Arabidopsis thaliana: one gene and its partners. The protein of the gene in region 3 interacts with the protein of the main gene of each other region in a pairwise test. Each region holds a gene or a part of one and is shown on either strand. Other genes may lie near its edges. The genes, in order: NHL3, FER, PIP2A and RKL1.

Region 1 (4,530 bases), on a different chromosome or scaffold from region 3:
GTGTAGAACCCGAGATGTTGCCTACATACATGTTACGTAAGTTTCCTACTTTTGGTTCCGTTTTGAGGATCATAGTAGATAGAGTTAGTGAGAAGCAGGCCATTCACTGTCTTCAACCTGGTCAACACGTGAAGCTTCTGAACCTTTTCTTTCAAGTAAATATGGGATTATGGAACGCCACTTTTACTCCCTCTACAAAGATGCAGTACACAATGAGCAGAGAGATGGAAGCCTTTAGTCCTCAAAGGTTTCTGCTGACACCTTTTCTTATCCTGTGAGTTGATGTTCTGCTTCGTCCGTTTGTTCTTCAGTTTAAAACACACTTTCTTACCATTTCAGAATGTGTGGGGAGAAGTTTTCACCGAGATGGAACCCAATCGCGCGTTGCATTAGTCGTTCACATTCTGAAATCACAGGTAATAACCAGCTAATTGTTTGGAATTGTGGAAATTTGACATAACGTTTAATATAATACTTATGGTTTAATCTTTTCTAGGGGTTGCCCATGACGATGCTCCATTTGTTTCTCTGATGGACATCCTGACCTATCACAATGTAATGTATCCAAAAACCTTGGATTTATCATAAGTTGTAGGAAAAGAGTATAGTGAAAACTTTCTTGAATTGATGTTTTACTGATGCTTATTATGCAGGTGACTGCTAAATTCAGGTGTGTTGTTCGGTTCATACAAGTGTATCCCCGAGACGTCAGAAAACTCCGTGATATCAACGGAAATATCAAATTGGTAGCTATACTAGAAGATGCAACCGCCAGAATCCATGCTTCTCTATATGCTGATGAAGGGGTAAGTAAAACACGATTAATTATTAGTGTTCATTGAAGGATTGTCTAATACTTATATCTGTATATCTTTTTACAGGAAAAGTTTTTCGGGTGTGACGAATCTGATGAAGAGGCTCTAGTCAAGAAGCTGAATAGATTGTTGGGAGGTGAAGAGATGGAGAAAGTGCCAAGAAATCCTCCATGGGTACAATGTTGCTTGTTCTCATTCTACAAACACAAAATGGATCAGTGGGAAAGCAGAAGATTCCGCATTTTTGATACTTGGATCAATGCTTCATGAGACAATCATAATGCTAATTGTATAGTTATTAGCATTAAACAAAATGTGATTATTTATTTACATGGAACCATACAATAAAACATTACATAAGAAAAATATCTCTCTCCAACGATATGTATGGAAGATAATAAAGCAAAACAATCTAAAATAAGAATCAATAAACAAGTGTAATATGATGAACTCGAAGAAGACTATAATAGCATTGACTCTTGACTAGCAATCAAAAGTCAACGTCACACTTGGTCGGCTGAAAAACAAACCCGCTGGTTGAATTAGAGGTAAGAGGAACCTTGAGATCGCACTTGATCTTGGGCTTGAACCTCCACGACTTGATCAACCCAAACTTAAACCTAATCTTAAGTCTCAGCTTGGCATCGATCCTATAGATCTGAGAATTCACATCCTCGTTCAAATCCTTCCTCTCTCCGCCGTCAAGCAGCACCAATTGCTGTCCCACGAGTTTAGTTCCAACCACCGTCGTGTTCTTATGTCCCTGGTAAAACTTCGAGATGTTGTTACTCATACCGAATCGCTGATCACCGTAGTATCCTCTGACTTCGATTTCATCATAGTAAACACCGATCCGGCGGTTAGGGTTACGGATTGTGAAATTGAGATCGAGATTGTATCGGAGGTTGTTGGTTGGGTCGAGTGTGAATTCGGTGAGTTTAGCGTCGGTGACGTGGAATTTGATAGCGTTGGGTCTGAAAATGAGCCAGATGATTAGAGCAGCTATGCCTAATAAGACGGCTATGGTTATGAGGATGTTGAAGATGACGCTTAAGATACAGCAGCCGCAGCAGCCAAGACAGTCACCTAAACAACCGCATCCACCGCCGCGTCTGCCGTGGCTGTGAGAGACTTTCTTCGGCGGTGGAATCGATGGTCCGTAATACGCACCGTTTAAGTCCGCCATCTGTTCGTTAAAATGCCTCAGAGAACGATTTTGAAAGAAAGTTTTTTTTGGTTTGTGATAAGATTTTGAAAAAGTAAATATGATTTGAAGTGAAGAAGAAGAGGCCGTAATATATATACACTGTAGAGATAACGTGTATTAGATAAAACGATTTAATTTGACGCGGTTTTGTTTTTTCAAAGTCAAAGGTGACGCGTCGGTTTAATATTGTTCGATGAAAATTTGATTTAAGTAGAGGTTACTTGCGAGATTGTTATTAGATATTTAGGATTAACAGTTTGATATACATTAAAGATTGTTTCTTAAATTTTACTATATGGTTTCTTCTTCAATTTGACTATGTATACTTTGGTTAAGCTTAATGAGATTATTTCTTGAATCCATATATACATGATTTGGTGATTAATGAGGTTAGTGCCGATCGCATACAAGAATATCCATATGTAGATATTTATTTATATATTCTTTTATTATATAAGACATGTGAGAATGTGATGATACTTAGTGCGGTAGTTAGTTTGTGAATTGTGAATAGTCATTTTTACAATGTAACTAAGCTTCCGAGAAACTTCCCCAAAAGCGACTGCTCTAATATAGCCATTGTTTCTTAAACTTGACGAAAGACTTTTGAGAACAAAAATAGAAAATGTGGCCAAAATATCAATAAGCCTATACAAAGTTAGAAAAAGACAAACCAGTCCCGGTCAAGAATTTCGACATTATATATATAACATGATGAAATGAAATAACTTTGATCTATAGGTTGCAAGTTGAAACTGAGGTGGGGTTTTCCAAATGTTTATTTTATAACTATGAGAACAGTTCTACTGATAAAGGTTATTTAATTAATTATCAATTAATGAAAATGTTTAATGTGAAAGATTTCTCAAATTCAAAGAAAATTAAACATTGCAAAGACTTGTTAATGTTATAATGCTAAAAGCAAGGAAAACTAAGGGAGGTTGGTGTTTAGAGTTGGATGATGTGACCTGTAATTGAAAGGAAGATTAGGTGAAGCCATGCTTTCAAATGTTTACATCTTTCTTCAATGAGAAAGGTCAAGCATATTTAATAAAGAATAATAATACTAGATCGCAACTCAATCATATTAAACTTTAAAACAACTATGGAGGATTTATAAAAACAAATGTAACAACTAAAAAAAGTATTCTTATAATATGAGATGTAATGTGTTTTATTTATTTATTAAAGTAGTCAATGTAGTTTAAGAAATTTTTATGTGTTATACGGTATAACAATAATTTTCATTGTATATGATAAGTAATACACAATAATTTTAAAGAAAAACCTGGTGATGAACAAACGTGTTTGAAAAACTTGTTAGAGTTTAATGCGGTGTCAATGTGTGTGGTGATAAAACATTAAACTAAATTAGACAACAAATATTTCACGAAGACTCCTTCAATCTTAGCCGTTTGGACGAAATAGATCATTGGAATTGGACAAATAAATGATGAAGACTTTGGTTGTTCTTAGGGTTTTGAAAATGGAGGAACCGACGACCGATCCCTATCTACTCAATTCCGATATTCATCCGAATAAATTATTGAGAAATTGCGTTGAATAGATGTCCACTAAAGTTTAAATGGACATATATCTAAGGAAGTAACATATAGGGTATACTTTTCATGTAATCTATTACTAATTCTAATTTGGTGGTTGTCACCATAATTTTGTGTTGTTAATCATTGTTAAAATCTGGAATACAATACGACTCGAAAGTCGAAACTGTATCGTGTTAACCAGTGGACCAATGATACAACTCCATGATTCATTTTACTTACGTTATCCTTTGGTTATGAATGTTTATTCTATGTTTTGGTTATGAATTTCTCTAGATGAACAAAATCGAATCTTTATGTATATATTCAAGTCTTGATCATTTACACGCTTAATAAAATGTATGACTTCAAAAAGGCAAAAAGGGAAGGTTATGTAGACAATTGTGTGTTTTTATCATCTGCTTTTTTACAGTATAACTTCGGTTCCAAACTAGGATTGTATATTCATGGATTGATGGGCGTAAAGTTTCTCATCATGCTGATCAATTACCTAGATTACGTATGGCAAATTTTCAGTACAATGTTTCGAAGATTTTCAATTAAAATTATGTTTATATACAAACTGGATTCGGCAGCGTGTATATGTACAAAGGAAACAAAACACGTGGGAGTTAGTAGATAAATGGGACTAAGATTAAAAAATTGCATAAAAAATCGTTCACAAACACATCAAATATTTGTTGGTGACGAATCTAACGAACAAATTGCGTACGTTATGCTCAAATTGGACCTCGCTCTTATGTACATTTTGAATGTTCTCACATTGGACTTCTTTCTGAAATACATATACATATCGAATATAATAACAATAGCACATGTAATGAATCATTTCGCAAGTTTTCTCTCTTGGAGAAAGTGGATTCCAGATTGAGAATTACGCCTACAAATCTCTTAACAAAAGAGGCAAAATTAGTCGAAGCAGTTGGTTATAAGATGACTTCATTAT
Region 2 (7,137 bases), 690 kb from region 3:
GATCGTTGACTCCAAGAGCAAAGCCTCAGATTGCAGCAAATGCAAGTAGTAGGACCAATGTGCGTTCTTCGTCTGTAACATCACGTCCTGATAGAAGCACAACAGTTTCAGCAACACCTCGGACACCGCCAAGACTAAAAGAAACAGTCACTCTAGCGTTTGGTAGACCAGTGGGTCATGTTAACTCGCCAAAACGAAACACCTCACCGGATGTTACAAGAACGAGGCCTAAAGGACGCTCTGCTTCTCCTTCTCTGATTCCGACTTTTTCAGGCACCTCACATACAACAACAACTCCCAAGTCTATAAAGCCATCTGCCACTGTTGCCGATTCAACTAGGCCAGGAAGGAAGTTGTCAAGAGCTTCTGTTCAAATGGCTATCAATCACTTGGTAATAACGTTCTCTTGTCATTATTTGATTATAGCTAAATATTTTTGTCATTTATAACGTTTATCGTGGTCAATAGTATAGTAACGTTTTTTATGAGGTTTTGCTTGACGATAATAGTGTCACTTCAAATGCAGGACTTGGCACGAAATGGTAAAGTTAGTACACATACGTTTTCAAGCCCAATGTTGTATCCACACAGCATCAGATCTTCTTCTTCGGGTCTAAGAAAACCGTGTGGTAGTAGTGAAGGCAGCTGCAGCAGCAGCAACCATGAAGAGGAAGATGGAAGAAGCTTAACGAAAGAAGGGAACAACACAGAGAACAAGAACGATAGTGCTCGTTACGACGCACTCTTGAATGTTAAAGATGTCAAGGATACAAACTGGCTACTTAACATTGATGATGAATCTCCTCAATCTCTCATCTTCGACAATGCTTTTGACTCTCCTCCTGATCTATTCTCTCCTCTCTGAGACTCTGACTCCTTTTGAGTTTTCTTTCCTGTTTGTTGTAGTTAAAAACAAGAGAGCTGCTTGGAAAAATAATCCTGTTTCACTCTTTTTAAATTCTTATGCAATCAAGAGAAAAACATTACACATAGTTCTTCTACTCGTTGTTTTTTTCTTTCAAAGTGTTTGTTTGTATTGATCAGCAGAAATATACAACTTTGACCCTTCTTGTTTAAATCAAAATATTTGCAAGAAAAGACACTATTGGTAGGATTCCGTTAAAATGCGTCTATATAGTAAAACAGAGAAGTGATTGATGTACTTCCGTTTATGTTCATAAGAGTACGACTTTGTAATAAATGGGTACTAGTTTGTTCATAAGAGTACGACGTGTAATAGAGTAAAGATGCAACAATTACCAAAAACGTTATAGATAACAAACCAAATAGTACATTGACGCGATTCATGTTTAATGTTTTTGTAGAAAGAAGAAAAAAAAATACATTATTTTTTACACTCTCCATCGTGGCATCAAATACACAAATCCAAAATTCTAAATAAATAACAGCAAAGAGAATAATAATAAATAGTTAAGAGGAAAAAAAATATAAAAAAGAGAAACGAACCGGTCTCCTTTGGATGGAGCCGGTTTAGAAAGGTAGTAGTGTTGTACCGTGTTATAAGACTTCTCTAACGTCCCTTTGGATTCATGATCTGAGAAAACACAGCACTTGGAGTGAGTCCATCTGAATCTTCGCTGGCCAAACTCCTACCACCGATGCTCATATCTATTCCACTGCTCCTCGAGTCCGTCACATTCCCTTCATACACATCAGAACTCTTGTCGTTCTTTCCTTTACAGTTTCCATCATCGTACTTAATCTCATCCATGTCCATGTCACCGCATACTCCTTTTCCGTTCTCTTCTGCGCTTTCCTGGAGCTGCAACGCAAATTCTAAGTTCCACAGAACATCTCCCATTGATGGTCTCTCAATGCCCTGGTCTAGAACACACTTCATCGCGGTTTCAGCAAACTTTTTGAAGCATTCTGGTGTGATCTTGCCCTTGAGGTAGGGATCAACGATTTGATCTAGCATGCCTTTCTTGTAGCAGTATGGTGCCCACTCAGCTAAGCTCACTTGTTCCTTTGCAAGTGTTGGGTTCAAGGCTGGACGAGCGCATAGAGCTTCGAATAGAACAACGCCAAAGGAGTAGACATCGGATTTCTCAGTCAGTTGCTGCCGTCTGAAATACTCTGGGTCAAGATAACCGAAACTTCCTTTCACAACTGTGCTTACGTGTGTGTGGTCTAGTGTAGGACCAGTCTTCGATAGACCAAAATCAGAGACCTTGGCCACCCATTTCTCATCCAATAGAATGTTTGTTGTCTTCACATCTCTATGGATGATTGTGTGTTTTGCACCAGTGTGTAGATAGTGTAAACCTCGGGCTGCTCCAATGCATATCTCAAGACGTTGCTTCCATGGAAGAGAAGGATTCTGGGTTTTGTAGAGATGCTCCCTCATTGTACCATGAGCCATGTAATCATAGACTAAGATCATTTCGCAGTTCTCTTCACAGTATCCAATCAAGGACACAAGATGACGATGTCTAAGCTTTGAAAGCATTTCAATCTCAGTCTGGAACTCATGTACACCTTGCTCGGACATTGGGTTGCCTCTCTTGATGGCTACCTTTGTAGTTCCGCCATCAATCTCTCCTCTGTAAACCTTGCCGAAACCACCAACACCAAGCACCCGGGACTCATCAAAGTTTTTAGTGGCAGCTTTGATCTCAGCAAACGAGAAGTGACGGCAAAGATTTGACGGAAGGGACGAGGCATAACTTCCTGTTGTGTTTGTCTTCGCCGAGCCAGCAGAATGTGAGTTTCCATACAGAGATAGTGGAAGCCACCCTGATGTTGCATCACTAGCAGGCTGGTAATCACCACGCTTACGTCTGCGGTAAGCACCAAACACACAAAACCCAATGATAAGGGCCAGAACAACTGCACCACTGGCTGCGCCTGCAATAATAGCCGTATTGCTTTTCGATTTCCTAGTAGTCGGGCGTAGGACTTTAGATGGATCAGCAGTCACCTGTGGACCAGGTATAGGATTGGTACCAGCCAGATTACCATCAGAAGTATTCATCTTGAATATCTCCACTCCATTAAGAAGAGAATCATAATACTCCGGCTTGTTAACTGGGTTAGGATGAAGAGCAAGCCACAAATCTTGCTGTCCATTTCCCTCTGGAGGATTCACCACGTAATCCTTGTGAAACGGAACCCCGTTTGAACTAGTCCAAGCAATCACATCAGCTTCAGGCTCAGCAGTTTGATTGTTGAGGTAGATTGTAAACACCCGTTGGTTGATCTTAGTGATATTCGAAGAAACCTCACAGAAATGAAGTCTAACAAGGTAAGTGAAACCAGAGTCAATGCTGAAAATCCAAGTAAGATTGTAGTTGAGATTGATCTGAGCTGTTGGACCCATAGACCTCGCGGTTGAATAAACATCCACAGGAGCAACATAAGTAGGAGTCCCCGTAGGATACTTAATCGTCATGTTGGGATCAGCAGTCTCTGGAATACCAAGTCCTGCACCAAATATATAAGGCTGATCATCATACCACGACCTATACAAACCCGTATCCGCGGAAGGCGAGATATCATTCCCTCCAACATTGAGCCTATACACATTCTCAAGAGCAGTACTGTTATCAATAGTAACAGAGCCAGATGATCCAACCATAGTCAAAGTCCCATCAGTACTACTATACATATCAGGCATTGAAGTAACCTCAATCCCATTAACAAACGCATACGCATTAGACGGAGCTGATTCCGGTGTAAACGTCATGTTCAACGTTCCACCTTCAACGTTGACAACAAACTCCTTGATGATGAAAGCGTAAGTCAACGCCTCCGCCGTCTGAGAAGCACTGAAATTCTTGAGAAGAGTGTAAGGACCAAAGGAGACGGAGAATAACGAGTTGGTAGCGTTGAGACCGTCGTACGAGTTTGGGTAGAAGTAGAGACGCACGAATTTACGACCTGATGCTACAGGGAAAGTGTAAGTGAAAGGAGATCGGAAAACTCTCGCCGTCATGTAAGGAACTTCGGGAACGGAAGGATCTTGTGTTAACGCTGGTGATGTTTTAGAGTCTTCAGAGGAAGATGATAAGAATTTTGATTTGACATCGGAGATCCATATACGGTTATCTGTGTCGGTTAGATTAGAAGCACCACCACCGCAATTCAATAGGATTTTCTCTGTTGGAGAGTAATCAGCAGCTGAGATTAAAGTTGCTGCAGATATGAGAAGAAGAAGAAGAAGAAGAGAGAGACGGAATCGTCCCTCTGTGATCTTCATCGATCAAGAGCACTTCTCCGGGAAGATCTTCTTCTCAGATCTATCAAACGAAAGAAAATCGAAACTATAAACTTCACAGATCTAAAAATGGAAAGTGCTAGAGGTACATGTTCGTTTGGTTACGAAAATTGAGCTTAAGAAACAGATGAAATTGAAGTTTGAATACAGTAGTAAGGGAGAGTGAAGTGAGGAAGATGATGATGATGATTACATACCTGAAGAATCGGGGAAGAAACCCTAAGCGATGAAATCGGAGAGAGTTTTTGGAGAAGACAGAGATATTTTGGGGGAGAGAGAGAGAAAATCAATTAATGAGTGGAGAGGTAAGTATAGTCAAGACGACGACAAAACGGACAAGCATTGTTGCTTCCCTCTACGCGTTAACGTTATTTTAATTTCAATAAGATTAAATTAAGATATAGTTATCGGGTTTAATTAATTGAAGCCGGCTTGAAGGTGGGTGAAGTGACGATAATGACCTTTGAGTATCAACAGCTGGAATTATATATGTCTTGACCATTCGAAGGATAATGTTGATTGGTATGGTTTGGATGACAGTTCATAAAATGTGAGAGAGTAAATCCATTAAACTAAAGAAAAGACAAGAGAATTTTATGAAACGCGTATTTTTGTGTGCGGTGGTGACTGCTCGTGGCTGAGCTGGTACTCTATATTATACTATAAAGGGAAAGAATGGGGCCTGCTTTGATAATAACTCGTTAGTTAGTTAGGATAGTTTACGTAATCATGGGCTTTTTACTCTGATTTCAGTTTATCTCCTATGGCCCAGTTATAAGTGGGCCTTATCTAACGTGCACATGATATATGTTTATGACAATCGGCGTAGCCTCCTTTTGATCGATCATGTCTAAGGTAAGGAGTAACCTTGATCTCCGATGTCAAATCCAAGTAACCTTGAATACAAATAAACCGTGGTTAAGGCCGAACGTGTGCAATTTTTTTGGTCTACACCTTCTTGATTCAAAACAGAGTTTGTGATCCTTGTTTTCTCAGTCTTTCAAAATAAAATAAAACTTTAAACCATTACATCAAACATGCACTAAATATTTACATTAACATATCATTAATTCTCTTTCAGACAACACATTTTTTTTTGTTTATGCCAATTTTAAATAATAAAAATTACATTTCAAACATACATGTTTCTGCTACTTCGCATTTGGGCACGCATGAGACGAGTCACATACATACACTCTTCCCAGTTCCCACTCTTAACTTTTCTTCACTCTAGGCAAACACAACCACCAAACCTACCAACTCGCTTAAATCGAAGCTTACCAATCACACTTGAAAGCTTCGGAGAATGATTCTTACTTAAACTCATATCCTTACTTGCATTTGTTACACTCAGACTCGCCGCACCAGTTGCAGCTGTTATAACACAAACATCACATTCTGTCACCATGCAATTACCGCCTAAGACCTTGTTTCTTCCATTTACTGCTTGGAATTCAAATTCAACGTGATCAGCCATTATATTTGGTTTGTTTCCCTCACCACCACCTCGATGCATTTCGGCATCCTCATAAAACACAAACATGTGATCCCTTTGAACCTCAGGAGCTTCTCTCGGAGCCCAACACCTAAACACTTTCTCTGCTTTACCAGTGACCACCCTTTTCTTTGTCTTCCATCTGCTTACGCACCTAACGCCAAGCCCAGCGTTGTTGTGACTATCATCCGAAAACGATACTACAACGAAGATAGCAAACCCCAAGAGTGTCTTTCGCAGGGAAGGAGTTATCTCTATCGTTGCAAATGAACCTGCCCGCAAATTATAAGAGGTTGCCTGATCTGCTCCTGCAGGCCCGCAAATGCTGAATGCAAGTGCTTTGATGAGTTCCTGGTCCCAACAAGAAAAAGGAAAATTACATATACGCTAAAGTATGTATGAGTGAGAAAGAAGGGACATGAGAACGAGAGAGTTACCTGCTGATGTTCGTTGCCAATGCTTGCTACTTTAGCCAGGCCTTTTACAACTCGTTTTCTAGCCACTTTTGGAGACTTATTGAAGCAATCGCTGAAGGTGTAATGACTAGGAAACTGCTCAAATCCCCAAGAAACTGACTCTAGAGACACACAACCATGCACGTTCAACAGTTTCAGGCTTTGGGGAAGCGCCGGAAGCAATATGAGGTTTCTACAATGTCTTAATCTAAGGCTATGTAGTTTAGATAACTGCTTTATGCTTTCAGGGATTTTGCTGAAACCATTCCGACCAAGATCCAACAGCACTACTGAAGGCAAGGAACAAATCTCTTCCGGTATATGCATCAAGGATGCATTGAAGAGGGATAAAGATACTAGGGCATAAAATCTTGGGACCAAGCCATGTAAACTTGAAGATGGCAGCCTTGGTCGAGGCAAATATTCTCTACGCTGCTCTGCATTCTCATTGAAAGTCAAGAGAAGATAATTCAAATTACTGATGCCAATTTCTGATATACCATTCTGGATAATTGATGTTGATACTTCTCTTATGGACATCCCAGATGGATCCGTTAGCTTAAGTGTGACAAGAGATTTTAAGTTACTAATCTCCATTGGAAGATGTTGAAGCCTTTTGCAATTCTGTAAATCTAAAACTACAAGTTCTGAGAGATGCTTGATTAACGATGTCACTTCCTGTATAGCGGTGCCAGCAAGATATAACTCTTCCAAGTTTCTTGGGATACCTTGAATATCCTCAAGTTCTGAGCATCCAGAGAGATTTAACACCGCAAGAGAACTCAAGTTACCTATTCCCATTGGTAACTTGTGAAGGCGTTTGCAGTTCTCCAAATCTAATACAACCAGTTCAGAAAGATGCATGAGCGAAGGCAGTTCTTTTATGGCTGTACCACCAAGATATAACTTTCTTAGGTTTTTTGGTATACCCTGAATATCCTCAAGCTCTA
Region 3 (5,828 bases):
GAGAGTGGGAGGAAGATGATCAGAAAAGCAGGTCAACTAACTTTGTGGGCTAAGATACAGGGCCACACGTATCGGCCCATATAAAATACCAGTTTTACCCTATATTTATTTCAACTCAAAACGATTACTTGCGCTCGAAGATTCTGTTGATCTCCTCTCTCCGCTGATAGCTCCATCTTTCTCTAAAGCTTCTCTCTTGTGTTACAGGTTCGATAATAAACAAGGTCGGATTTACCTGATCAAACGTTTGTAATGTGGGACAAACGTCGGAGGGGAGACACAACTTTTCAGGCATGTCCATTTCCTCCAAAATTTCCAGCACGGTGGCTCTGGCCAGAAGACTTACGAGAAGGTGTGTTTTGTCCTCTCACTCACAGGTGAAATAATTTACCAGCACAACAAGTTTTTCTCCTTCTTCTTTTTGTTTCCCACACAGATGCAACGGGTTCAGGAAGGTCTCGTCTACGGTTAATGAACAGAGGAAGCTTCGGGAGACGTGTATTAGATGGGGTGAATATGCCTTTTCTTGTACATTATGCGATGTTGTTTGCCAAATCTTTGAATTGTCCGCCAAGCATCTCCAGAGTAAACAACATAAATCGTTCGTAAGCATCCCAGCCTATTGTATCACTACATTCGTCATTTTCTTACTACTGTATGAGGTCCCTTTAGAAACTTTCTCGATATCAAATCTGATCTACTGGGTTTGTGACACTCAGCTCTTCCCGAGAGGTTCAAAACTCCATCAATTCTTTGAATGGTGCAGTAGTATCATCATTTCTCTTCTTCGCATAACAATTTATTCGATTAGTACTTCTTACAGTAAATGATCAAACATCTAACACATGTTTTACTTTCGTAATTAAAGGATTTGGATGGTAGGCAGTCTCAGAGGCTGAGGCTAGGCCACCAAGAGGCCAATTTTGAGCGGCCACACCTCTTCACGTTCTCATAAAAAATGCAGATTCTGAAGGGTAAGACTCTCAATCCTCAGCCAAGTTCGAGCATTTCCTATATGATTCATAATTGTCAAGTAACAAACGACTAAGTATGTTGAATCTTGAATGTAACAGTTTCTGTGAGCCTTTGAGGCATATGGGGTTAATGGACAATGGCGGTTTCAGAGAGTAACTAAAACTTACTGCTGGTGCACGCTAGGCTTTATCCGCCTGAGATGTATGAAGACATAAAGGAATGGTCTTTTCTAGAAAGATAATGATTGCGTTAAAGCAGAGACATGTGTTTCTCCAAAATCCTGCTTATTCACTGAGCATCTTGAGGAGGACGTAAACAAGACCAAGAACATGGCCCCATGGTGTTGTTATTCTCTAAGGAAACTAACTTTAGTACTAGTATTAATGTAAACACAACGCATAAGAACCTCTTTGATTTCATTGATTATAATTCCAATCACTCGTTTAAAAGCGAAAGAAAAAACAATTACACCGAAGGAAAATTCACAAAAGAGCAAGTGGAAAACACAAATATAAGAAAGGGAAATGAAAACTGCAAGTGACTGATTTAGATTTGTACAGAGAGATCACAACTTCATTTATTCTTGAGAAATCTGGTTTGATGTGTTTAGACGTTGGCAGCACTTCTGAATGATCCAAGAGACTTAGAACCTGAAGCTCTCAGAACGAATTGGTGGTAGAATGCAGCTATCGCAGCTCCAATGAATGGTCCAACCCAAAATATCCACTGTTTGTAATCACCAAAATTTCAAAACATTATTCCCTTGTAAAAATGAAAAATATAGTTGAATGTAATGGAGAAACGTTGAGGTCTTACGTGGTCATCCCATGGCTTGCTCTTGTTGTAGATTACGGCAGCTCCGAAACTCCTTGCCGGGTTAATTCCGGTTCCGGTAATGGGAATGGTAGCCAAATGTACCATGAACACGGCAAATCCGATTGGAAGTGGCGCCAACACCTTTTATTTCATCAAAATTCAAATTTATTAGTATGATTGAAATCAAATGTTGGTTTGGTTTGCTTTGGTTCCGGTTTTGAGTCGGTTAACCATATTGAAGATTAATAGCACTACATATGTGACTCACCGGAACGTGGGAGTCTCTGGCACTACGTTTGGGGTCAGTGGCAGAGAAGACGGTGTAGACAAGAACGAAAGTACCAATGATCTCTGCGGCTAGACCGGTCCCTGTGCTGTAGCCATCGGCTAGAGAGTTGGCTCCACCTCCGTAACGGGTGTAGTAAGAGCTTTGGAAGGCTTTGACAAAACCAACTCCACAAATCGCACCCAAACACTGAGCGATTATGTACAATAGGGCCCTAGGTAACGACACTTTACGTGCCAAGAATAGCCCAAATGTCACCGCTGGGTTAATGTGACCACCTAAGGAAACAAAAAGAGTTGACAATGTTACCAGTACTTGAGAATTAAGGTACAACAAGCAATTAATTAACCGGTTTCAATTCTGGTTAAGACAGGGTTAGTCAGTTGCTTAAAATAATTACTAGGCTTAGATTAGATATATATCATTCGGATAAGAACCGATTTGATCATGACCCTTATTAAATGTTTTATAAACAAATCATTTTCGTCTTTTAAACCTAAGATTTTAAACCGATTAAATAGTAATGTCAACCAAGCAATATTTTTCCTTGCAAAATAATTAATTTCGAATAAACAAACCAAAACCATACCATATAATTTTTACTTGTCTAAATTTTGAGTTTGCAAGTTGTACTTACATAAGTAAAACTTATTCAGCTTATTCGGTTTAATTGTAATTCTAATACTCAAAAAGTGTATAATCTTAATCTAAACCAAACCAAAATCAAGATTAAAGAAGGATCATACCAGAGATACCGGCGGTGCAGTAGACGAGGATGAAGATCATACCACCAAAGGCCCAAGCGATACCGAGGATTCCAACTCCGCCGCAATCTACGCCACCGGCATCAGTATCGGACTGAATCTTGTAACCGATGACTGTCAAAACGGTGATGTATAAGAAGAGGAGAGTGGCTACGAACTCTGCGATAACTGCTCTGTAGAAAGACCACTTCTTTAGCTCCGCTCCATCAATAAACGGAGCTGGTGGCGGATCTTGATAGTCTCTTGTCTGAAATCCTTCTCCGGGAACGGCTTCCACATCCTTTGCCATAGTTAACTTCTTCTTCTTTCAAACAATAGCTTTTTTTTCTTTTGCTTCTCTGTTGGAGTGGTTAGTGAGAAGAACATGTGCTCTGTTTTATAGTGAGAGCTCTCCTTCTTGTTAATTTGTTTGTATACTTTTTTATTGCTTTATCTTTTAAAAAATATTTTTAGTATTTTTGCCAACGTTATATGTTTTTTTGGTTTTTTGTGTATTGAGGTTTTTTTTTGGAATGAAAGTTTGTATTTTCAATGAAAAAATTGGATATAAAAGTATACGAGTGAGTTATGATTATTATTATTATGAGGGAAGTAGCTTTGACAAAATGATTATGAACTAGCTGTCCTGAAATAAATTTTGAACCAATTCTATTTAATGATTGCTTGATATATCAATATCATACATAGTTACTAATACGTAAAGACAAGAACCCTAGTTTAATTTCAGACTTAGAGTTTTTCAATCGTTGAAATTTGAAAAATTCAAATAAGTTAGCCAGTAAATTTCTTTAAAATTTGATTCGAGTTTATTTTAGATCCTAAATTAGAATAGTTTATTCTATTTAACGTTATAGTTTGCACCAAGTCCATGACAAAAAGATTGATCCAAATCTATTGAACATGCGTCTATAAATACATGATAATGATATGGGATTAGCTAGCTTATGATATCATAAAACAAGACTTTATATCCACTCATATAAACTTGCATAGTTTTATCTCTCGTAGCAATAGGAAGTATCAATCAGTGGTGATGGTGGAGAGCTATCAGAACCACAACTTTGAAATAATTTATTAGTTTTTATGTCAATCAAATTTTTATATGTTTTTCTGGTAAATAATGGAGGTTTTTTTTGTTTACTTTAACTTAGCCTCGCCGCCCCCATCACCTAAATGTCATTTTCTTTAGGACCGACCCAATATACTATATCATCAATATGGTGCTCTCTTCTTTTTGTCGTATAATATCATAGCCTGTCGATTTTTCAGATTTAAAAAGCCACAGTTTTTGTATGCCAAATCATTTTAAAATAACTTACGTCCACTTTTTTTTTTTATCGAATCAGCATTTACATTCTTGAAAACACATAACAAAACTCCAAAACCTTATTTTGCTCCAACGAAGCATGGCTAAGTTTCTTCACTCCAAATCCAACTAATCATGCATGGTTATATTCGAGTGTCTCATTGTATATATAGAGAACATTTTTCTTGTTCACCAAAGTCAAAACACTTTGTTTTCAAAATAGATAGATATATGGTCATTCTCTTACATTATAAACATTTTTGTAGTCTAGAAGGTCTAGTTTTCTATCACCAACATATGTTATTAAGTATGTTTGAGGTGTCATAAAACAAAACCCTACTTGAAGATGTTAGAGCCGGAACTCAAAATTATGACACAATATTAAAGAAGCATAAACTATTTCGTTCACAAACTTTCATTTCAAACTTAATTGACGATAAGTAAATTGATTCGTCGTATATCTTATCACACATAACTCAAATTAGCATTTAAGTTGATATTACTAACATAAAGTAACCAAAGCCTAAACGAACCCTTTTTCATAATTGTTGTGTTGGTATATCACTCTCTAAAACCAGGGTGTAAAGTTATGGTGCCGTTTTGTGGGGTGGGTCGAGATTCCACTGAGGTTAAAATCATATGGTCTGTGTTGGCAAAAGGTGACACGTGAATGGGTGGCGCGCGTGACTAACCGACCCGATCCCTCCGACAAACGTATCGTCACCGTCCAATCCATCTCAGCATATAGCCGTTTGTTCGCTCAACCACTCACATAATGCCACGTTTGTTGTCCCCACCAATCATTTGCATTTTCTCTTCATATCCAAAATTTCATATCTTTTGCGAAAATTGCTGACAATTAGACTGAAAACGAAAATATAACAAAACAATAAATCCCAATAAAAATGACAAATTGTGACAACCAAACAAAAGACAGGAGATGCAGTTCCATGGTTATCGTTTTGCCATGTGGCAAACCTTATCGTTTTGGCTACGTTGGTCGGCTACTATTAGACGAATATTCCACGTCAGCCAACTCTTTTTTCTCATGTTTTTCGAAGTGAATTTTAGATAATAAAAGCACAGAAATGTGAATTTTCTGGTTCTGGTTCTGTTGTTAATTGTTATTAGTATGTTTATTTATATATTTTACACTTTCTTCTATTCATAGAAAACTAGTCTTAACCTTATCTAAATATTCTAGACAAATCGAGTTACATATAGTATGACGTCGTTATGCATAAATTTTGTCCTTTTTAGTCACTCCAATTGAAAGAATTAGTCCAGAATGTACTACAGCAAGATCAACAAACATATATTGATTTATCTGTCTTCATAATTAATAATTTAATATGCATTCAAATGATAATCAATTGGATATATACTTTACATGATATTTACAGATCAAAAATTTCTATATTGTAATTTCCGATTACTTAAATGAGTAAAATATAAAAGTCATATGAAGTCCAAATTTTATTGTACCGGAAAGGACAAATAAATTCATATAAAGTCATGTTCTATTGAATCTCTTCTAGTCCTCCATATTTCAAATCTCTTCTAGTCCTCCATACGTATTTGAACTGCGGATATAAAGTATGTTAGTTTTTTATTTCACTATGGTAGATTTTTAAAACGTAATTAAAACAGGTTTAACTATGAGAACATCGTAGATCCGACC
Region 4 (6,451 bases), on a different chromosome or scaffold from region 3:
TCAGTTTTAGTATTCTGACTCGCTCTTTTTACGGTATGAAGAATCTCTCGCAGCTGGCATATATCAACTATAATCTGATGTCCAAGGGTCACAAAGATGAAACCCAACCAAGTTTGCAGCGAAGATAACAAACAAATGAATTTTACTTGTTTATTCTGTACATGTAAGTCATTCTTTATTAATTACTAAATTTGTGATATCTATATAGCAAACTGATTTTGTTTTGAGTTTACTCTTTCTGATGCAGAGACATGAAGAAAAACAGAGGAAAAGAAAAGAAAAAAAACATTTATTTGGACGCATAAACGCATCTGCAAATGCGGTTATTGGTGTTTTGCGGTTTGATATTTGTTTGGATTTGTGGTTCAGCATATATGGGACATGGTCTCTTAGGCTTTTGCGTTCCACCTTCATAGAAGGGTTGTGAAATGTTGTCCAAGTATACTGAGTGAAAGTGCATTATTTATTATATATATTGACAATTTGTCTCTGTCACATATTTTCATTAGATTCTCAACGAGTGATACCTTTTCCAACCAAAGTTTTAAACCTATCATATTAATGGGACATACACCAATGTTGCTAAACTGATGTATAGTTAGCGATTGCGGTTTGCGTTTGTATTGGCAATTAGCAGCCGCATCAACCGTAAATGTAGGTAAAGAGACAACGCACATAAAATAGAATCATCACTATCTTAATGTCGTCTTCTCTCTTGAAACCAATATCTCTTTATGGTCCCTCTCTATCATGTGTACCTTTGGGACCTCTCTAAAAGAGTCATACAATTATAGCAGCCTTAGTACTGTTGCAGTTCCACCCATTCTCACCTATTTATACCTTTAGCATTAAATGCTTTACTCTTAAAGCTGTCAATGTTTGCAAGCCAAAAAAAAAAGTCATAGTGGTTTTTGTGAACCAAAAAGAATTATTCAAAATGGTTGACAACCCAATATTAAAAGAGTTGTCCACATTTACATAATAGCAAATTAGGTATTCTGTATTCATTCAATTCATTTTCATAAATCATGTGTTGAGTGTTTATTTTTGGTATATTTAGCTGTCTCTCCATCAAAACTAAATTAGATGTGGGTCACTTTGATAGCAAGAGATAATAATAAGCATGTTCTTATATTGATATGACATGTTCTTACATATAACTTCCATCTACCATAATAAGCTAAACAAGTGCAAAATATACGGAACCGAAACAACATAAAAATGAACAAATTAAACTGCAATTTAAATTAGTATAAATTAACACTAACCTTTCTCATTTCAAATGATCAAAACACACTGCCGGGAAAAGGCATTCCACAAGTGGCCAACCAAAAAATATTGTATATCAAAACAATTTTGTATTTGTTCGAAAAACTGAACACATCTTTTTCATAAAACACTGACCAACTGCGTTTGCCACCACAGTATACAACTTTATATTACGATATAAAAGTCACACTCACATGTAACATAAGAGACAAAAAGATACGTAACAATTTAGAAAATAGATTTAAGAAAGGGAAGCAACAACAATAATTACAAATCACCACCAAATCCCTTCACGCCCAACACAAACAACTGCAAATGCCAGCAGAGTCACCCACTAATAATAAAACCCCTTCTCCTTTTTGACAAGTTGTGTCAAAAATTAGAAATTAAAATTATAAACCTGATTTCTCCCCAACCATTTCATTCAAATTAAATAAATTAACAATTAAGAATCTTTGACTTAATCAGCTTCGTTCACTTGGTCTGAACCAGAATAAGGTCGCAAATTCTCCATCTTCCTAACCACTTCCGACATCTCCGGCCTCTGGTCCGGATGCTGTGACGTACACTCAAGCCCTAGCTGCACCATCTCCGCCATCATCTCTTCTTCATCCGTCGCCAAACTAAGCAACTCCGAGTCGAAAACTTCTCTCCTCCACTCATCTCTCGCCACCGATTTAACCCATCTCGGCAAATCAACTCCTTCCTCGTTCATCACCGAGTTCGAAGGAGCTTTACCCGTGATCAGCTCAAGCAACACCACTCCGAAACTGTACACGTCACCCTTCTGCGACACGCGTTTCGGATCGGTTACTTCTGGAGCACGGTAACCCGTAGCGCGGTTTGGATTTGTTGCTGATGATCCCACGAGCTGGGCTAAGCCAAAGTCTGAGACTTTAGCGTCGTGGGATTTCGTTAAGAGGATGTTTGAGGATTTGATGTTGCCGTGAGATGTTGAAGTGCCTTGTGAGTGAAGGTAGTCTAGACCACGAGCTGCACCAATAGCAATTCTTGATCTAACATCCCAGTTTAGTGGACTCCTTCCCGCTCCTCTGTTTCCTGTTAACAGACAAAAGACAATTATAGAAACTAAAGAGAACAAACCAAAGTCTTAGAGTAGTAATCATTGTTCATAGATCAAAGCATCCAATGTTAAACACATTGTCCCTACCAATTCACAGAAACTATACAAAGTATTATGGAAATCATATCAATGTTAAGAATCAATGATCAAAGAGATTAAGCACTAAACTTAACCATAATCTAAATGTATTCAAGCCTATCTATAGGCACTAAAAGCATTGACTTGCCTCAAAAGAAACCAAACTCAATCTAAGCACAAGTTTCGATATGAACTCACCATGTAAGAGAGCTGATAAGCTTCCCATAGGCATGAAGTCATAGACAAGAAGTTTCTCATCTCTGCTGAAATAGTAAGCTCTCAATGGCACCAAGTTCTCATGATCCATCGCACCAACCAACTCAATCTTCTCCTTAAACTCTTTATCAGCCATCATCACATCCTTCAACCTCTTCACCGCCACAACCGTCACCGCGTCAAGCACTGCCTTATACGCCGTCCCAAACGTTCCTTTCCCAAGAACCTCCGCAGAAGCTCTCAACAAGTCTTCAAGATCAAAAACCTTAGTCGCGTTACCAAAGAACACAAGCTTCTTCGTCGCTGGACCGTTCCCTTCACTGGCTTTTCCGTTTCCAGTCATCGCCGCAGCTGCAGCAGCAGACACCGAGTAGACATTACCATTATCCACCGCTTCTTTATCTCCAGGAATTTCAGGTTCTTGCTGTTTGATTGTTGAGATATCAACAGCTCTTGATCTCTTATTACTCTTTTTCCGACAGAGCACCATTAGTATCAAAACAATCAAAGCGAAACCAACCACACATCCGATCACAATTCCGGCAATAGCTCCACCGGAAAGTTTGTTCTTTTTCTTCTTCTCTTCACTTCCTTCAACACTCGGTGGTGTTCTGTTTCCACCAGAAGTAGGCTGACTAGGTACAGTTTCTTCATCAGGACAAAGTTTAAGCGGTTTGCCACAAAGTGAAGTCTGTAGAAACGAATCAGACTCAAACCTCTGAAGATTCTTAGGTATAGAACCGTTCAACGAGTTATTCGAAACGTTGAATTGAACCAAAGGTAAATCTAAGTCAGGGATTGAACCAGAGAGTTGATTATTCTCTAGAAACAGAGTCTTTAGCTTCGTGAGGTTCGTGAAACCTGAAGAGATTTCTCCGGTGAAGCTGTTGGAAGCGAGATTAAGCCTCACGAGGTGACTGAGACTGAACAAAACTTCAGGTATCTCGCCGGAGAATCTGTTTCCTTGTAAGTAAAGGTGTCGGAGATTGGAAGAGGTACTGAGATCTTTAGGGAGTGAGCCAGAGAGAGCATTGAGACGAAGGCTAAGTGTACGGAGCTGAGTTAAGTTACCGAAAATACCCTCTGGAATGTCACCGGAGAGAGCAACGCCGGGTAAGCGGAGAGCGGTGACTCTGTTACTCTCGCATTTGACACCGGCCCAGTTACACGGCGAGGTTTGTTTGATGTTCCAGCGAAATGTACGGCCTCCGACGGCGGAGCGGAGAGAGAGAAGAGCGGTTCTGTCGGCGTTGAGATCTTGAGTTGATGGAAGAGGGAGAGAGAGGAGAAGGAGGGAGAGGAAAACAGAGAGAATCGCCATGGACGAGTTGGGGAAGAAGAAGACTCGCATTGTGACTATTCAGAGAAGAAGACGAAGAAGAAGAAGAAGAAGAAGAGAGAGAGAGAGAGAGAGAAAGGTATAAAAATGAAAACTTTATTATTAAAGAGAGAAGAAGAGAGCTGTAAAAGGAGTGAAAGCAGTCAACAGCCTAATCCTCTTCTTCTCCTTTTTTCCATCTTTCATTGTTTTTTTTCTGTTCTGTTTTTTTTACTGTCAGTAAATGGAATTAAAATATCAGTTTTAAGTAGTAAAATAACAGACTAATATTAATCTAAATTCTGTAATTAGCATAAAGACTCCTAGATAATTGAGAACCCTAGTTATATGTTCCTAATTAATCTATTTTTTTAGATTTTTGACACATAAGAAAAAACATATTAAAAATTGATTATAAATATATTTTTTGGAAATTACAATTTTCTATAATTCTTAACCAATAGTATTTATTTTATTTTATTTTGAAATTTACGATTCATCATCAATACCTGATAAAAATGCATACACAACATTAAAAAAATATACATTTTCTTAACCATTTGTTCTCTAGAAAATGGATTATTAAGGAACATAGAGAATTAAGTTATGGAGTATAATAAGATTGAAGTTGTTGATAATATTAATATAGAATTAAAAAAGGAGAAAAAGGGTGGGTAGAGAGTTGGTAGGACCGTAACATGTTAGAAGATGATCACAAATTCACAACCACATTTGATTACATTAAAGTTTTTGGAATAAATCTTCTTCGTTTTGTGTCTGTCTCGGCCACTCTGTAAACAAGACCTCCTTTAGTTTTGTTTTGTATCTAAGAAATTCTCGACATTGGCCCTATAATATGTATCATCCTTTACTATAGTCCGGGACCATTTGTTAGATGCCATATAAGTTGTGCATGCGCATATTATCAAATATTTGATCTCAAAATATACAACTTTCTCAAGTGTAATTTGTCAATAATATGCATGCATGCTTAGACGTTATTTGTCGATAACTATCATGACTATCTATAAGGGGCCAAGATCATGATTTGTAACGTTTTTATTTTCTGTTAGTTTTAAGATGTACTACATGTCCTACTCCGTTTGGAGGTAAGAAATCTACAAATTCTTTTAAGTTTATGGTTATGTGTCAACTATTCCTAGAATTTAGTAGTATATGACAAAGGAATAGTTTTATTTCTTTGCAATAGTATGGTATTAGGTTAGATCATTTACACATACAGCAACAAAAGGAAGCTGTAACGTGCTGCGATACATGGTTGGGCGTTACACGAAACGAAACGACAACTACAATTAATATTTACATTTTTTTTCTTTCATGTGGTTTGGCTCCTTTTCTTCTCACCAAATACTACCATTAATTATAAGTTTCATTTGCTCGTGAAAGACCAGAGCAAATACCCAAAAAGATTGATTATTCTTCATTGGTCGGAGAGAATTTCTGTTAGATAGTTTCGAGAAACTTATAATTCTATTTTTCTCGTAAAAGATTCAAATATTAAATGACTTTTTCTAGTTGGTTTTGTTTTTCTTGGCGTCTATATTGATTTATTTCTGTGATGAAGAAAATACCGGCTTACAATAATAAACTATACGTAACATGCATGAACATATATATACATATATGTAGTTGAGTATATGCGTGCAGGTGGACCAATCAAGTAGTTTATTTAGTTATATATTTTACATGAATTTCGTGAACGTATCTACTGACTTTACCTGACCACAAGATACGTCTAATTCTTAATTAGATCCCTCTATAAGCCCATATTAATCCAAGTATAATATATACATCGTTCAGTAAAAACAAAAAAATACTTATACATTCGACTACGAGATATATAATCTTATAGCTTATATTAATGCTTTCACCGTATCATAGACGAGGAAAAAATGTGTGTATGCTTATAACCTGATAATTAAACGTTACAGATCAATCATCAATGGACGAAAACTGCATAATGTAGGCATGTAGCTTTAGGGTAGCTTCTATGACATAGCTTGAATCTTGAATATAAGAAAAGAAAAATCAATGTTTTGGTCAACTTTTGCATAGACACGGCTTCGAATTCAAGTCATAACGGTAGAGGTTAATTAGGCTTGAAACGAAATGGGTTCTAACTTCTAGATATGTATACAAGTTTCTTGTTTCTCAATCCTTTCTTTTGGACCAACACGTAACTAGAAAAGTAAAAGAACAATAACGGACGGTAAATTTGATATATGGGCTAATAAAGTCAGGCCCGTTCAATTGTTTTTTTCCTGGTCAATGCCCTTATTCAAACATAATCTAATATGGATGCTATGGTACAATGCAAACGCCCTTCACTGAATGACTTCAAATGTAACTAAAAAGCTTAGCCGAGGATGATGGTTACAAATTATTCGAGTCATAACGGTAGATTTTTTGGCTTAAAAGTGAACCGTAACCGGATCAAACAATAGAAATCACATAACATTTCGTAA

What was found.
Region 1: the proteins of PIP2A (region 3) and NHL3 come close enough for resonance energy transfer, tested with the Arabidopsis thaliana proteins (one study listed by BioGRID).
Region 2: the proteins of PIP2A (region 3) and FER come close enough for resonance energy transfer, tested with the Arabidopsis thaliana proteins (one study listed by BioGRID).
Region 4: the proteins of PIP2A (region 3) and RKL1 come close enough for resonance energy transfer, tested with the Arabidopsis thaliana proteins (one study listed by BioGRID).

The regions. Positions count from the first base shown.
Region 1 is NC_003076.8:1,929,711-1,934,240, forward strand, and holds NHL3 (NDR1/HIN1-like 3), read right to left. Parts: upstream 2,059-4,530; 5' UTR 2,002-2,058; coding exon 1,306-2,001; 3' UTR 1,086-1,305; downstream 1-1,085. Other genes in the region: AtPOT1b (Nucleic acid-binding, OB-fold-like protein), read left to right, coding at 1-247, 340-416, 497-555, 654-806, 882-1,085. UniProt on the Arabidopsis thaliana protein: Confers resistance to Pseudomonas syringae pv. tomato DC3000 (Pst DC3000).
Region 2 is NC_003074.8:19,116,346-19,123,482, forward strand, and holds FER (Malectin/receptor-like protein kinase family protein), read right to left. Parts: upstream 4,605-7,137; 5' UTR 4,435-4,604; intron 4,260-4,434; 5' UTR 4,220-4,259; coding exon 1,532-4,219; 3' UTR 1,239-1,531; downstream 1-1,238. Other genes in the region: AT3G51540 (mucin-5AC-like protein), read left to right, coding at 1-392, 527-865; AT3G51560 (Disease resistance protein (TIR-NBS-LRR class) family), read right to left, coding at 5,463-6,083, 6,170-7,137. UniProt on the Arabidopsis thaliana protein: Receptor-like protein kinase that mediates the female control of male gamete delivery during fertilization, including growth cessation of compatible pollen tubes ensuring a reproductive isolation barriers, by regulating MLO7 subcellular polarization upon pollen tube perception in the female gametophyte synergids.
Region 3 is NC_003074.8:19,802,325-19,808,152, forward strand, and holds PIP2A (plasma membrane intrinsic protein 2A), read right to left. Parts: upstream 3,407-5,828; 5' UTR 3,131-3,406; coding exon 2,824-3,130; intron 2,356-2,823; coding exon 2,060-2,355; intron 1,933-2,059; coding exon 1,792-1,932; intron 1,702-1,791; coding exon 1,582-1,701; 3' UTR 1,149-1,581; downstream 1-1,148. UniProt on the Arabidopsis thaliana protein: Water channel required to facilitate the transport of water across cell membrane. Probably involved in root water uptake. Its function is impaired by Hg(2+).
Region 4 is NC_003070.9:17,916,022-17,922,472, reverse strand, and holds RKL1 (receptor-like kinase 1), read right to left. Parts: upstream 4,267-6,451; 5' UTR 3,999-4,266; coding exon 2,630-3,998; intron 2,329-2,629; coding exon 1,730-2,328; 3' UTR 1,357-1,729; downstream 1-1,356. Other genes in the region: AT1G48490 (Protein kinase superfamily protein), read left to right, coding at 42-128.